Linked DNA regions of Drosophila melanogaster. The protein of the gene in region 2 interacts with the protein of the main gene of each other region in a biochemical or structural test. Each region holds a gene or a part of one and is shown on either strand. Other genes may lie near its edges.

Region 1 (5,921 bases), on a different chromosome or scaffold from region 2:
CCGTCAAACATTGTTGCGTGTCATTAATATAGCTAAATAGCGCCAAACGATGGTTAGTAACATAACTTATTGGCAAATAAATGTATTACTTTTTGGTTTCTAGGATGTGGGCACAATGCGTTGCCAGCTCCAGCATGGGTGCCATGCAATCCTGCAGCACCTGGTTTTGAAAGTGCAGCAATATCAGCTCCTGACCGTCCCGCAAAAGAGCATAAATGGCATTACAGTCTCCGTTCATCCTCACATCGTACACATCGAACTCGTGCGGATGCAGAATGTGCTGTGTGAGATCGATGCTGCCCGCCTGCAGGGCTCCTAGGAGCAGTAGGTGCACTTTGCCGCTGCGCATTATCACCACCAGAAAGCAAGGTGATCCCTTTGGAAAGGACTTTTGGTCCAGGGTTTTCAGGCACGGATCAATATTGGTCATTGGCTGCAGTTTGGGCAGGAACCTTCGGTGTTTATCCTTGACATTACATGTGTAAGTTCCTAGAATCGTTTATAACACAATCAAATCCCTGTAGCTTATTTCGTATCGCTGGTTTACCTAGGTTCTCCTGCGAGTTGATGGCCTTGCTGAAGTAGACCTTCTTGATGTCGTCCTCGTAAATGAGGCCTGATATTATCGTTCCGCTCTCGGCGTCCAGGAGCGCCACCTTGCCGTTGCTGTAGCCAACCGCCAGGAGTGTCTCGTCCATTTGCCAGCTGAGCGAACGCACCCGCACATCCTCGCCGGGCGTGGGAAAGGTGACAATCTTTTGCCAGTTCAGACGCTGGATGACCACCTCACCTATCCACATGATTGGGATAAGCCCACTGGCAGTTTATTTGGTGATTCTTGGCAATTTCGGAGGCAGACGCTCACCCTTTTCCGTTCCGTAGGCAATTAGATCCATCTTGTTGTTCCACTCCATACGCTCCACAATGCAGGACATGTTGCGGGCGCCCAGCAACTTCATGGAGCTCGTTTGTGCCATCTTTCCACGCTAGAATTGGCTCGCGGCGTCTCTACTGTGCATCAAATATTTCAATATAATAATTTTAGTTTACACTTTGCCGGCTCCTGTTGCAGTCTATCGAATAATATTCCTGCTATCGATCAGAGATGAGCGGAAATAGTAGCTATTACAAATTGGTTTCTCCAATTCTTCAGTCATTTTTGACATTTTATTTGATTTTTGTCAAATGTTTAAACAAAATATTTGTATTAAAACTTCGGGACAGCGAGAAAGAATGTGTATTTATGATTGAAACTTCTTAGATATTTGTACTTATGCACGGCATGGCAAATTATCTGCCAGCACAATTTTGTTTTATTCGTACTTTACTTTAGTCTTACAAACCTACATAGTTTTAAAAGCTTTTGTTTGGAACACATAATGATTTGCGAAACAATGAAAAAATCGGGAAAATCTAAATTAATCGATCTTAATAACTGCCTGTTAGGAAAAAATCTCAAATTCTGGCTATAAAGGCGCTAGGTGGGCAGCACAATTGGCGTCTTTTGATTTCCACACAAAAATATTGGCAATTTCAATGTGTTTTTTTTTAACTTAAAGTGTTAGAAAGCTGGATAGTTGTTAAGATAGAAAGGTGGTCCTTCAGTCTGAGTCGTTCCTCATTGATCAGGTTAAGCGTAGTTTAGGCCAATTGTATTTAACACTGTGATGTTATATGCTTATAAAACATTTATGTGGGTCAAAAATAAAGGTAGATGTTAAAAACAATTTTACAATTGAACTTATAGATTAAGTATGTATATATATGTATATGTATATATGTATATGTATATACTACCGCTGACTGACGCCAGAACTTCAGTTTGTCCAATTTTTTTATCTTAAGGGCTACGCTACGAAATATGTATGTACATATATCGTATAAAGCCGGTGTGTATGTATCCACATAAGCGAGTGAATCCGAAACAGTCATCTGTATCTGCCACTCAACTAGTCATCCGCATCCGGCTGTCCGTTGTCCAGCTCACTACTCTCGTCCGGCTTGATATTCTCGTCTTGATTGATGCTGCCAATGGGGCTGGCCGGTTCGGGATCCTCCTCGTCACCGCCATCTATATTGCTGCCGCCACCGGTGGTGCCAACGCTGCCGGGAGCAGTATCATCGCCGGCCCCACTGCCGCCGACGGAGCCCAGGCCACCGGATGATCCCAAATTGACGGAATTCGTATTCCCATTACCATTGCCGCTGCCCGTGTGCCAGGTGAGGCGCTCCTCATAGAACTGTATGACCACCTGGGGGCATCGAGTGTTGGCCAGCTTGGCGGGCACAAGGTCGGCGTGATCGCTGCCCTTCCACTTCATGAGGAACATTAGGTGCCCGGATGAGTCGGTGGCGCCCAGTATTTTTGATGCCTCCAGACCGCGCTCAAAGCCGATCAGCTTCTTCTGCTCCTCGGTATCGTCCTCCAGGAAGCTCTTGCGCTTGCTGCGTATGGATTCGGGTGTGGAGGAGGTGGACAGGCGTTTCTTTGTCTCCTTCTTGTTGTTCTTCAGCGACTCCTCGAAGTTGGCTATCAGGTCTGGACAGTCGAGATTCTCCACCGGCTCCCAGGTGTTTTCGCTGCGCGGATAGCCCTTCCACTTTAGATAGTATTCCGTTCGTCCGTTCACCGTTCGCTTGTCCTCGACGCGTTCCACTGAGAATTCGGCCATTGTGCTTTTACGCTAATTGTGTTATTCCAACTGCGAATTTTGTTATTTTCTTGGCGTCCAAAACTTATTTATACGTGCGATTAAAGAGATTGAAGAAGAAGAAGAAATCAAGATGGCAACTCCATGGTCTCGCCATCGGCAACTATCGCTCTCTTGGCCAGTAAACGCATTTTAATTAAAAAGCTGAAACTTTAAAAACTTTACAATTGTAATTTTATCATTATCTCTTGACCATTTTTAAATTTTGACATATATATATATTTTTTTTAAATTACCCTTTCTACCATCCCTGTCAGCGATAACTCTCCAGAAATTGGACAATCGATAAACGGCCGTTGCGTTGCACGTGCGCTAGTTTTTAAAGAAATAAACAATATTACTAAGTACGATTAAGGAGAAAACTAAGCAAATATGGCCGAGTTCATAGCTGAGATGCAGGAGCGCCTGCTGCCGGAATACGAGCAGATGAAGAACTACAGCGTATTCACAGCGGATCAGGTCAGGTGAGAAATCCAAACGAATTTGGAGTCTGTGCCCCCATTTCATCCATATTCTTGCAGAGAAATCGTTAGCAGGCGGGAACGCTTGTTCCTTAAGATCAACAAGAGCCACCAGAGCATCACCGACTACCTGGACTTCATACTGTACGAGAAGCACATGCACATGACCATCGTGGACAAGGAAAAGAAGATGCACGTTAAACTCACCGGTCTAAAGGCCTCCATAGCCACGCGGATCATGCGCCTGTACAGAGAGGCCTTGGCTAAGTTTAACCACGACAGACGGCTGTGGAGCAACTGGATCAAGTTCAGCAGGAAGTCAAATCCTGTCGAGGTGGCGGGCATATACGAGAAGATGCTGCTGGTTAGTATTTGCCAGCCTGCTCACTTCCATTGATTACTTATCCATTGTTGTTATTCTTTTGCAGTACCATGGCGACTCGCCGGATCTTTGGGTGGACGCCGCCTTATGGCTGTACGAGTTCAATCGGCTCAACATCGATCGAGTCAAGGACATCCTGCTGCGTGGCTTGCAGAGACATCCGGATTCCGAGGCACTTAACAAGTGCTTCTTTGACATTATGCTGAAAGAGGCTGCCCTGGCCAGCAACGAACGCAATTTAGCCGAGAATACGCTCTCGGAACAGGACATCAAATTGGAACGCGTGGAGGCGGTCTACCGCAACAGCATGGCCAATATTACCCAATTGGACTACTTTGTTAAGCTTCTAGAAAGCTGTGAGGATCATCAGGAGCTGACGGGCAAGCTGCAGCGAATGATAATCGATGATATGCAAGAGAAGTTCCCCCGGGAGCCGGGCCTGTGGGATTTGCTTGCCCAGCGAGAGTTGCGCGGCTTTCATCTGGGCGACCTGGAGGAGGAGGACTTGGATACCAGTGACGAAGAGCCGGCCAGCAAGAAATCTCGTTCCGTAAATGGCCGCTCTCTCAAGCGACGCATTCAACTCTGCGTTACTGTATACAAATCGGCGGTGGAGGAGCTGCAAACGACAGAAATGTGGAATATGTATTTGGATGCCATGCTGGCACTCAATAGCGATGGAAAGACGGAGCGTATACTAAAGCAACAGTGCCTAGCGGATGCCTTGCAGGCGGGCCATCGCTCTCAGTTGATGGGCGTGAAACACTATGCCACATTAAGAAAGATGCTCTGCACTGCTCCGAGTGGAAGGGAGGCAGCTGTCACCATACTCACGGAAGCCCTGAAAAACGATTCATCGGTGGAGATGCACGAGCTTCTTCTGGCCACGCACATTCAAAGCGACAGTGAGCCCTTGATCTATGAGCTATTCAACAAGATCCAGAAGAGCATGGGCAGTGAGGCGTTGCCGCTGTGGCGCAGTGTCATTCTGTATTATCGCACTCGGCAGGATAGCTTGGGCGCACGCCGGCTGGATGAGATCTACGGTCTCGCCTGCAAGGCTGCGTGGCCGGAATTTGGTGAGCTGCGCTCCGATTATTTGCGCTATCTGTGGCAGGAGCGGTCTGTCGAGGAAGCACGCAAGGAGTACGCCAAGCTGGCCATTCTACCGCCCATGTCGTTGGCGCTGCACCGCCAAATGGTTCAGCTGGAGTCCAGTGCGGCAGCTTGTGTATGTTTTGTTATCTTTGCTACTTTGGCATATAATTGCGAGGCGCAACTAATTTACTTTATCTGTTGCAGGACCAGGCCAGCCTGAAATACTGGCGCATGTGCTACGACTTTATGGCCTGCTATTTCGGCAAGACACAGCCGCGCGTTTGGGTGGAGTATCTCGCCTTCGAGCGAGATCACGGCGAGGCGAAGAACATCTCCCTGCTCACCCAGCGGGCTCTCAGCACCCTAGAGCCTCAATATGTCGCCGCGTTTGAGGCGGAACGGGCACTGGCCTATGTGGGCGCATCGATATAGTTGGCTAAATAGTTTATTTGTGCTTCTGTTTTTTTCATTAACTTAATTTCTAAGTCGATCTTTCGGACTGTCTATAGTGATTCGATTCTAAAATAAGGACTTGTGAATATACAGCTTATAAGATAATTTATGAAATCTGATTTTTACTTTGGCAATATGCAGGTGTGTGAATTCAAAGTACAGTCATATGGAAAAGTTCTCATTTAACCATCCTATTGTTGAAATGTCCTTTTCAAAAGCGGTTAAATTATGAGTAATGCTATACGAGAATATCCTTTAACCTCTTCCGTCGACGGATGTGCTCATAAATCCGAGCTAATTGCGTTTTCCGAAGGTAAACAAAAACATGGGCATTAACTTTGCCTGCCTGACGCCGCTGCCGCCGCCGACAGCGCTGCCGACGTCGACGCCACTGGAGCTTTGAAAGCGAGTGGCGGCAGAGCAGTTGGCCAGTTCACTTGCGTACGCCGTGGCATCAACACGCACCAGCAAAATCAAGCGCATCCAGTCGACCCAATCCAGTTCCATTCCATAAAAGCCAACGAAAGCGAAATCTCAACCGAGCGTCATGGAGTTCAACAATCGCCTCTTGCTGAAGATCATCGAGCTGGTGAGTAATTGTATTTAAACTAGATCCGAAGGAGACACCTTGTTAACAACACAGTATTAGTTAGTTGATCATCCAAAATACAGACAATTAAATTGCTCATTAAAACTTTTTAATGTTGCAACAGCGATTTGAAGTTGATTTTGTTTAAAAAAGTAATTAAATTGCTGTGTCATAAGAATATTGATAGACACATTGAAAAATTGCATATTATTTATTAAAAACAATAT
Region 2 (10,082 bases):
GATTTGGCAACGCCAAGCGCTTCAACCTCAACGTGCATGCTTTGCGGGAATGCTGTCCGTATGCGCCGGAAAATTGGCGTCAGTGGCGCTCCAAAACGGTGAAACCGCCGCGTGTGGCCCCCGAGAATATCAGACGTGGATGGGCGAAGAAAACAAAGCGTGCCTGTTCGGAGGCCAAGCAAGCCATTAAGGAGGACTCCCAACAAGAGATTGTCTACCCGAAGGTCGCGGAAGTGGTGCAAGCCAAGCGAAAGACGTCTCCTTGTGAGGAGAAGGTTGTGAAAAAGCAGAAACAGATGCAGAAGGAGGAGGATGCGGAGCAGGTGCCGGATGAACGCTCCCTGGCCATAGCCAGGTCCTTTGTGAAGGACTATGGACCACAGTTCCTGCCAAACTATCGCCTCTGGCAGCTCAACAGCGCCTTCAAATTGGACGACGTGCGAACCAATCCACTCCACTGGACCAGCTGGGATGTGTGCGAGTACATAGAGCGTGCCCTGGATTCCACTGACATTGCCAAGGTGATCTTCGAGCAGGACATCGACGGCAGGGCGTTGCTGATGCTGGGGCGCAAGGAGTTGGATACGTACCTGAAACTCAAGGTGGGCCCGGCCGTGAAGCTCTACTCCCTGATTCTGAATCTGCGCATCGCGGTCGTCTGCAAGTTTGATTCAAAAAACATCGAACTGGAGAGCAATACTGCTGGTCCGATTCAGAGGGAGATGGATACACCTGTTTCTGCGATAAAACAGCTGCCGGAGCAGTCCCAAACCAACGGCTACAAGACGGATCACGACCAGGAGCTGTCCGAGAGCGGGGACGACGATGACGACGAGGATGTGATGCTCGACAGCGATGACTTTCTCAGCGTTAAGCCGAGCTGCCTGGTCATTGACGAGGACGCCGATGGGGATGGCGATTGTGAATCCGACGGCGATGTGGCGATGGTGCCGATGGAAGTGCGCACGCCCTTGCGCACGTCCTCTTAGGACTCCGGATACCAGGCATCCGCTTCCGTTGATTGATTTATAAGATTATTTTGTTGCACCGGCCTCGGCCCATTCGGGTATTATGTTTATAGGTAGTATTTATTCTTTAAGCCGATATGAATTCGATTTTGTTTGTTTTTCGATCCCTAATCCAATAAATGATCCCTCTAGATATGTACACCATCCTGTCTATTTCCTTGGGTGGTAAGCAAACCTATCTATTCCTCCGGCGAAGGTTTTTCTTCTTCGGGCACAACTATGGTGCCATCCACTTCGAAGAGAACGTGACCGAACAACTGGGTTACCTCAACGAGCTGCTGGAACTGCTCCATGTCCTCGTAGCGCAGGTTGTTCACATCCTGGTAGTTCTTCAGCGAGGTCAGCAGTTCGTGATCGGAGAGATCTCCATCCTTTTTCAGGATTATCATCAGAGCCTTTAGCTCCTTAACACTCAGCTTGAGGAACGAGTTGTCCATGAGCACCTGCGTGGCTACGGGGAGGATTTTCTGGAATGGTATGGGGATTAAGCGAGATAAAAGTGCGGAAATTCATACTTTCGCCACGAGATCCATCAGTGCCGGATGGTGGTGCTCGCTGGCCAGGTGGAAGACCTGCAGAACCACCTCCATGGGCCACTCCTGGTGGGCCAGCTTGTCGATGTAGCAGTCGATGAAGTCCAGCATCTCGTAGCGCTCGGCCAGCAGCATGAGGTCACCGCACATGTCGATGGTCACCGCATTGCACACCTCGTACGTGTAGATGTAGAGGAGCAACGCCTCGTAGGCGGTGGGAGAGGCGTCGTCCACGCTGATCACTCGCTTGTTCTTCTGGAACTCGGGATCCCTGATCAGGCGCTCGAACTCCGCGGAGGCGGAGATGAGCATCACCTGGTGGCAGCGGAAAATGCATGGACAACGCTTGCCCTCCTTCAACTTGTCCGGTTGCGAGACATGGAGCTCGCAGTCCGACTTTTGGCCATTCCGCAACAGGTCCAGGCGGCGTAGCTTGCAGTTCATAGTGACTGGGGATTTTTTGGAGGCTTTGCTCTCACATAGCACAAAATTTGGAATTCGAAATTAGGGTTTCCCTGGCAGGAATGTCAGACTCTGAGAAGGAGGCCGCCGGCAAAGCCCACCTGGGAAGCAACAATCGGTGGTCCGACCTGGAGGAGGAGGAGGAGGGTGAGGCGAACGACCAGGGAGGGATCCAGAACTTGAGGCCGGAACTCGTTGTGCCCAGAACCACAGCTGCATCGGATGTTGAGGAGAATTTACCATTGGGTTCTCCGAGTGATGGGTCCAAACGCGCTACGAGTAGAAACCGCAGACTGGAATACTTTCGCAGTGGAGCCGATGCCGATTGCCAGGTGCACGTCCTGAGCAACTGCCCCCAATCCGATGAGCCGGCGGTCAGTGTGTGCTACAAGAAATTTGGCTGCCATCGGATCTTCCTGGCCACTGCCTCCGACAAACTGGAGCAGGACGTGTACCAGAACAAGGACTGGAACGGCGTACTCCAGATCAATGGGGTTTCGCCCGAGAGCGTGGAGATCTTCCTGGAGTTCATATACACCTTCGAGGTGACCTCGCCGCTGGTCCAGCTGAAGCTGGTGGGGGATATGTTCATCCTGTCCTGCGCGTACAACATGCCGGAGCTCCTTCGCTCCTTTGCTGAGAAACTAAAGGAGCAGGAATTGCCTCTGGATGGCATCTTTCCTGCCTTCGACCTAGCATTCCGGCATAACATCATCGATGTGGAGCGCGTTTGCATCGAGGTTAGTAGATTGGAATATAAAATGGAGCCTTAATTTAGTTAGTTATCCTTTAGAAAATCATAGAGGAAGGCGCATCATTGATCCACGAACCCAGTTTAATGAAACTCCCGGTCTATGCTCTAAACTACGCCATCCAGCACTGGCTGGTGGCGGATGCAGTGCCTCCCGATGAACTCATCACGATTTTAAAGCAGTATCAGGAGATCAATGAGATTACATTCGCCAACACGCAAAAATTCCCGCACTTCACCAAAATTATCAAGTATTTCCCCAATGTTCTTCTGGACGCCGAGGGATTCATCAATCAAAACTAGAAAACTACTTGGAATTCCCAAAAGCTTCGCGCATAAAACCCAAAAATTTAAAAAAAATAAGCCAATAAAATATCAGTTCTCATTAGCATTGTATTGGGTATCTTTTGCATATGGCAAACTGGAAGCTCATCTAAGGGGAAGCTTAGATGAAAGACAGTCTATATTTAAGTTGTAGTTTTCAATAATTTCCTATTGATCAAAAGCGATCCAAACTTTAGAAGCATTTTTCAAAAAGATAAACGAGCAGTGCTGCCAACCGGTTGCACCACTCACGCCGGTATTTTCTTATGCGCCATTTTCGGTATTTTCCGGCAGATACCAGCCAAGAAGCGAACGCGTTATGCGAGGGCCGCATTTGGTACACTAGTGCGCCATTTTACTCGCATAAAGCCGAAAATTCACACAGTGGCCAGAAAGCGAGAAATTGCACAGTGCAAAAAGGTGTTTGGTAATTGATGAAAAGTTTTGCGCGTACCGTGAACCGACCGTTAATGATGTGCCCGCACGCGCAGCGGTGAAAGGCAGTTAATTCGCCTGTGGAGACGCGCTCACCACAACAAACTCGTGCTGTCCGAAAAAAAAAGTCGGCGCTCGGATTGCGGATTATCGAAGTACCGTACGGCAAGGCAGCAAAAAAAGTACGGAAAAGCCGCCCATGCAACGCGGCCAAAAAAGATAATGCAAGTGCAGTAATATTAATTGCCTGGCAGAGCGGCGCATACAGACACACTCCTCCTTTTTTCCCCACTTTTTTTGTTCTCTGGAGGCGCATGTTTTGTTTTTTCGTGCACTGTACCGTGGGCTCAGTGTGTGTGTGTGTGCGTCGGTGTGCCTGTGCGTGTGTGTGTACACATTTTAGGCGGCAATGGTGTGGGGCCCTGGCCAGCCGATAGTCCGCCGCGCCGCGAATGTTATCGATAGACGAGCCCTAACCATTTGTTGTTTGTTTTCCTTTTGTTGCAGTTTTCATGTCTATATAAACAAACGTACAGCGAAAGTCGGTTAAAAAATCAAGCAGCGAAATGGAGGAGATATCCAGTTTGGACTCGTTCGGCGCCGATTCCAATGCGCGACCGGAGTCGGCCACCCCCAGGTCGGAGGAACAACAGGATCAGGATCGACAACAGACTGCTCCGGCGGCCAGTGAAACTCTGGATACGCCCGCCTCGCCGCCAGCGGAGGATGCAGCTGCGCAGGAAAGCAAACCGCCTCCTTCCAAGGAGGCGGATGACGACTTCGAACAGATCTCCGAGGGATCATTAGACGCCGATGATAACCAGTCGCGGGATAAGGCGGCTAGTACACCAGCTGATCCCGTGGATGCGGAGGAGCCCGCCGAGGAGCCAACGCCCAACGAGGAGCCGCAAGGCGGTGAGGATGAGCAGCCACAAACAGAAGCCGTGAGGGTAGATCCACAGGAAGAGCCCGAGGAGGCGGAGGAGGAGACTGATGCCCTCCAGGCCACTGCGGAAGAGGTGGAGGCAGCGGCCGCCGAAGCAGATGCTGTGGACGGCGGTCCCGCTTCACCCGAAGCAATGGATGTGGATGAAGGCGAGGTGGATGCAGAAGGTGAAGCTGAGCAGGAAGCAGAAGACGACGCAGCTCTGGATCGAGAGGCGACAGATGATGTAGATATGCAGTCCGTGGGCGCAGATTCACACCAGGCGGAGGATGCAGAGCCACCGGAGGGCCGAGATGAGGTGGACACAAGCTTAGAGGAGCAGGAAAATGGCCAAGATCCTGATGAACGGGAGAAAGATGCGGCCGCCGATGAAGATGATCCGGATGCAGAAGGAGATGCGGAATCGGAGCAGGTGGATGAAAATGCCGAGGAAACTGGTGAGGCCGAACATGGCGATGGTAAGTCTTAGTACTTCTTTGATGCATGTTTATAAAAGACTAAATGAATGAACTATTTACATTATAGACACAGTGGAAAATGTTTTGGAGCCAGAGGAATCAGATGTTTGCCTTATTCCCGATGATCAAGAAACGGAAGTGACTGAAGCTGAGAAGGAACTGGCCCGCGAGAATGCCGAGAAGGCCGCCGAAGAGGAGGAAGCCGAGGAGCGGCAAGCCAAGACACCCGATAACGATAGAAAGTCCCCGGCAGATGCCGCCGCCGATCCAGAAGACGACAGTGCAGCTGCCGTTGACGCCACCGACGTATCTCCAACCACGCCAACTGGTAAGTGCTCCACACTAAGACTTGAAATGCCCTATCCCACATCTACTCTATCCATTTTGCCTGCAGATGCTCAAGCTGGAGCTAAGTCGGCGGCAACAGGCATTGCAGAAGGTGAGCAGATTGGGTTAATTCCTGGGCAAAACTCACTAACTGCTTCATTCGACTGCATTCTATTCATTTAATTCTTGCTTTAAATTTAGTTTGTTATTACAAAATTGGCTCCTAGCATACAGAACGATTGCTTATTAAAATGTATATAACGTAAATCCCCTTTTTTTGCCAGCAGATGGAGTAGCTGCAGCAGCTAACGAAGAGGAGGCCGGTGGCGATGTTCCCGATCCCGACGAGCCCACAGCCGAGGAATCCTCCAGTGCCGGAGCGGGTGAACCTGGTTCCACGCCGAAAATCATCATTAGTTGGATCGTTGGCAGCGTTCAGAAGTGCAAACAGTGTGGCGATGAAAAGAATTGTGGGTTTCGGTACAGGAGTCCAGAGGAGTCAGAAGAAATGGATAAGGAGAAGGAAAACGATAAGGCAGAGGAGAACGCTGAGGAGGGGGAGGAGGAGGAGGCTCGGCAAAAGCCTGCTGCTCCCAGTGGGTTCGAGTACATCTGCGATACCGCCTGTGTCGACGCCCTGCTAGAAGATCAACCCGGCAAGTACTTTGTACGCCGCAAGAAGTTCCTGGTCGAGGAAGTGGTTCGAGAAGAAGGCGCCGCCGAAGCGGAGGCTAGCGCCGATGGCGAGGGCGGAGATGCCGAGGAGGAAGCTACTCCAGCCAACACGCAAGATTGCCTGCAGTGCAAGGATAAGACGCGGTGCAAATATTTCATTAAACAGGACCAGGACTGCTTCTACATTTGCAATGACGATTGCTTCAATCTGCTCAACGCTGAGGAGCCAGATAAATTCAAGCTGAAGCGGCACTCGATTCGAGTGCGCAACATTGGCGCCACAACGCTGCAGCCACCGCAAAATTCGCCCACCAAACGGACCGACGGCAGCGTGGTGGCCAGGACGGTGGAGGAGGCAGAGACGGCGCGCCTGGACAGGATCGAAAGCTTCCGAAGGCGCTGCGCCGACTGCGAGGCGGATATCAATACGGACGAGAAGCAGCTCATGTGGGAGACCATGGACTTCTGCAATGAGGTGTGCCTGGGCAGCTATCAGCGCACCATTGGCTCCACCTGCGAGACCTGCAAGCAGGAGGTGAGCTCCATAGCGCTTGGCAAGTACTGCGTGCGATTCGGTTTCGATGTGCGGCAGTTCTGCTGCGCCGGCTGCCTTAACACCTTTAAGAAGGGTCTGAAGACGTGCTCCTGCTGCCAGAAGGACATCAGCGGCGGGCAGGAGGGCTTCCTTGCCCCGGTGGGTGACAAGGATCAGTTCAAGGACTTCTGTTCGCAATCCTGCCTCCGTCGCTACGAAAGCATGTGCAATCCCCGACGAAAACTACGCACCGATGTCTGCGGTGTGTGCAACAACCAGAAGCCAGTGAGGGTGGAGATGCTGCTGGAGGACAGAGAGCACTACTTCTGCTCGAATCCCTGCTTCTCCGCCTTTAAGTTTGTGAGCAACGTGAACGCTGATCCGTGTGCCATGTGCTCCAAATACTTTGAGCGGCGGAGCGCCGAGTCCTACACCATCTACAACGAACAGCAGTCACCGAAGGTCTTCTGCTCGCGGGTCTGCATAAATGTGTACATCATCGTCAACAGGCACATCGTCTCCTGCCAGTGGTGCAAGGTGAAGAAGTACAACTTTGACATGATCTATCAGATTGGTGGGCCGCACGATCAGGAGACGCTCACCTGCTCCATCAACTGCCTGACCATGCACGGCGTTAGCTGCAACATCTCCGCCAGGGCGGTTACCAAATGCGACAATTGTTCCAACTTCAATACGCCACAGTATCATTTGACCATGTCGGATGCTTCCATGCGCAACTTTTGCACCTACCAGTGTGTGATGCAGTTCCAGAATCAGTTCGCCCGCGCTCCCCTCACGCTGGACAGCGACCTACCGCCCAGTAGCGCCGGCAGCTCCAAGTCCCAGCAGCAATCCAATCGAGGCAACAAGAATGCGGCACCATTTCCCACGGGCCTGCCCAAACGTGTCAAACTGAAGCTCTCCCACGTGAGTCAAAAACTAAATAATAAACTAAAAGGGTACACACTGGGTTTTTTTTAAGTTTTTACAATCGAATGATAGCCATGCAATAAGTGTTAAAATATTGAACGTAAACGAAGTATTTGCAATTTTTTTTACCTGCTCGCTTAATTATTAATACATTTACTTCAATTTGGCTTTCAATTCAAGTTTCAATTGCAATCCTAATTTCATTCAATGTCCACCAAAATGGGAATTAACGTAAATTAATTAAGTATCATACCTAAGTTGCATATAATTAATGTCCCCGATAATTGCAGACTGGAAAAGGTGGCGTTGGAGGCAAGAAATCCGGCTCCGGCACCATGCTACCGGTTATATCCACGGTGCAATCGCTCGCCAGCGGCGAAACCGAAGCCCGGATCGGCAATCTGACGGTTCGTCGCAAGCGTGGACGTCCACGGGAATCGGGAACCTCATCACCGCCGCTGTCCATGCCGGGTGTCCATCCGCCAGCACAGCGAGGAAGGCCACGCAAGCACGCTGTAGACTACTCGGCGCGTTCACCATCGCCCACGATGTCAGGTGGCAGCTCCCACATGGGCATTCCGGTCAGGCGAAATACTACCACGACTATGGATTTCGGGCCGGCTACGGTAACGGAGACCAAGATCATCACAGTGCCACCATATCCCAAGGCTGTGCGAAACGTGAACATAAGCTGTAAGCCCTTAACGGTGACCCAGGGCGAGCAGTGTAGTCCGGATGTGCGGGATTGCGCCACCCAGACGGAGAAAGACTACTCCAACAAGGTGCTCATCCCGGTTCCGGTGCCCATCTTCGTGCCGCAACCCATGTACATGTACTCGGCTCCGTTCCCCGTACCAGTGCCCATTCCGCTGCCAATCCCGGTGCCTATTTTCATACCCACCACGCGCAACACCGCGCAAGGCATACTTAAGGAGATCAAGAAGATACAGGACAAGATGCCAGAGGATCCACTGGAGGCGGAGTTGCTTATGATGGCCGAGATGGTGGCAGAGGAGAAGCACGAATCGGACTCCGATTCGGACAACGAGATCAAGCCGGATCCGGGCCTGGTAGCTCTGCAGTACCAGAACAGCCTCGAGTCCGTCGCCCAACAGCAGCAACAACAGCAAGTGGTGGACGTTAGCGGAGCCGGACATAATCCCTACGGCGACGATATGCTGCAGATAGCCCTCAAGATGGCCACAGGCGACTACGACAATCATCACCAGACCTCGACGGTGGATCTGGAAACGTCGATGACGGCGAATACGATCAGCAGCCAGTCGCCGATGGGTCACGACGGAATGGGTCAAATGGGAGTACATCATCTAGATCAGCAGCATCACATGCTTGATGCCACGCAGCGGTGAGTTAAGAGAGATGGCAATCAGAGATCAATACTCAAGTACTTAAATGTGATGACTTTCAGAACCGCACGTGGACGCAAGCGCGGCGTAGGCGTCGTCATGGACCCACCCAACCGCAACAGCCGCTCGCCGGTGAAAAGGCAGCGCGGCGGCGAGATGGATCACTCGGCCCTGCAGCAGCAGTCGCAGCAGGCACAGCAGCCGCAGGAGAAGCCCGACGCCCAAATGTTCCTGAAGTACACCTTCGGGGTGAACGCATGGAAGCAGTGGGTGATGACGAAGAACGCGGACATCGAGAAGAGCTCGATGCGCCGGCGGCCCTTCAAGACGGAGCTGCTTCAAATGACCGCCGACGAGTTGAACTACTCGCTTTGCCTCTTCGTCAAGGAAGTGCGCAAGCCCAACGGGACGGAATACGCGCCGGACACCATCTACTACCTTGTGTTGGGTATGTAGTTACTCCCCAGGTTTACACATGTACCATTTGATTTTATTGGAATCTCTTCCTTCAGGCATTCAGCAATATCTGTATGTGAATGGACGCATAGACAACATATTCTATGATCCGTACTACGAGCGGTTTACCGAGTGCCTTGACGAGGTGGCGCGCAAGTTCTCCGTGCTTTACAACGATTCGCGTAAGTTGAATCAACTTGAAATGAGTCAGTTCCAGCGTAACCACATCTTTATACACCTAAACAGAATACATTGTCACTCGCGTGGAGGAGGAGCACTTGTGGGAGTGCAAGCAACTTGGCGCCCATTCGCCGCATGTTCTGCTGAGCACGCTAATGTTCTTTAACACCAAGCACTTTAATCTGACGGTAGGAGTAAACGATGCCGCATTTGTTGACCTGGGCTAAATTGCGTTTGGTTTTTCAGACCGTGGAGGAGCACATGCAGTTATCCTTCTCGCACATAATGAAGCACTGGAAGCGCTCATCACAGAATTCCAAAGTTCCTGGCTCACGAAACGTGCTCTTACGATTCTATCCACCGCAGGCGGGTCTGGGTAAGCTCTTAACTAAGCTTCGTATGCACAGAAACTGAGCTCTTACTTAACTTTTTTTCAAACAGATGCCAATCCGCGGAAGAAGAAAGTCTACGAGCAGCAGGAGAATGAAGAGAATCCGCTGCGCTGTCCCGTCCGCCTTTACGAATTTTATCTCTCCAAATGGTTAGTTAGTATGCTTAATAATTACAAGAATCGATTGTTAATCATGGTACGTTTGTTTAACAGCCCGGAGAGCGTGAAGACCCGCAATGATGTCTTTTATCTGCAGCCGGAGCGCTCGTGTGTGCCCGACTCGC

Evidence for each region.
Region 1: the proteins of woc (region 2) and HP1b form a complex in vitro, tested with the Drosophila melanogaster proteins (one study listed by BioGRID).

Annotation. Positions count from the first base shown.
Region 1 is NC_004354.4:9,078,110-9,084,030, reverse strand, and holds HP1b (heterochromatin protein 1b), read right to left. Parts: upstream 2,778-5,921; 5' UTR 2,673-2,777; coding exon 1,950-2,672; 3' UTR 1,285-1,949; downstream 1-1,284. Other genes in the region: APC4 (anaphase promoting complex subunit 4), read right to left, coding at 1-32, 90-489, 548-790, 866-977; CG7246 (uncharacterized protein), read left to right, coding at 3,084-3,175, 3,233-3,536, 3,601-4,785, 4,857-5,084; CG44325 (uncharacterized protein), read left to right, coding at 5,653-5,694.
Region 2 is NT_033777.3:27,257,410-27,267,491, reverse strand, and holds the start of woc (without children), read left to right. Parts: upstream 1-3,436; 5' UTR 3,437-3,715; exon of another isoform or gene 3,716-3,757; intron 3,758-4,040; 5' UTR 4,041-4,099; coding exon 4,100-4,937; intron 4,938-5,004; coding exon 5,005-5,265; intron 5,266-5,331; coding exon 5,332-5,376; intron 5,377-5,543; exon of another isoform or gene 5,544-5,548; coding exon 5,549-7,401; exon of another isoform or gene 7,402-7,442; intron 7,443-7,506; exon of another isoform or gene 7,507-7,611; coding exon of another isoform or gene 7,612-7,635; intron 7,636-7,694; coding exon 7,695-8,770; intron 8,771-8,833; coding exon 8,834-9,219; intron 9,220-9,283; coding exon 9,284-9,409; intron 9,410-9,473; coding exon 9,474-9,595; intron 9,596-9,653; coding exon 9,654-9,783; intron 9,784-9,848; coding exon 9,849-9,948; intron 9,949-10,011; coding exon 10,012-10,082. Other genes in the region: l(3)mbt (lethal (3) malignant brain tumor), read left to right, coding at 1-989; CG14260 (uncharacterized protein), read right to left, coding at 1,208-1,495, 1,544-2,005; CG14262 (uncharacterized protein), read left to right, coding at 2,086-2,763, 2,817-3,077.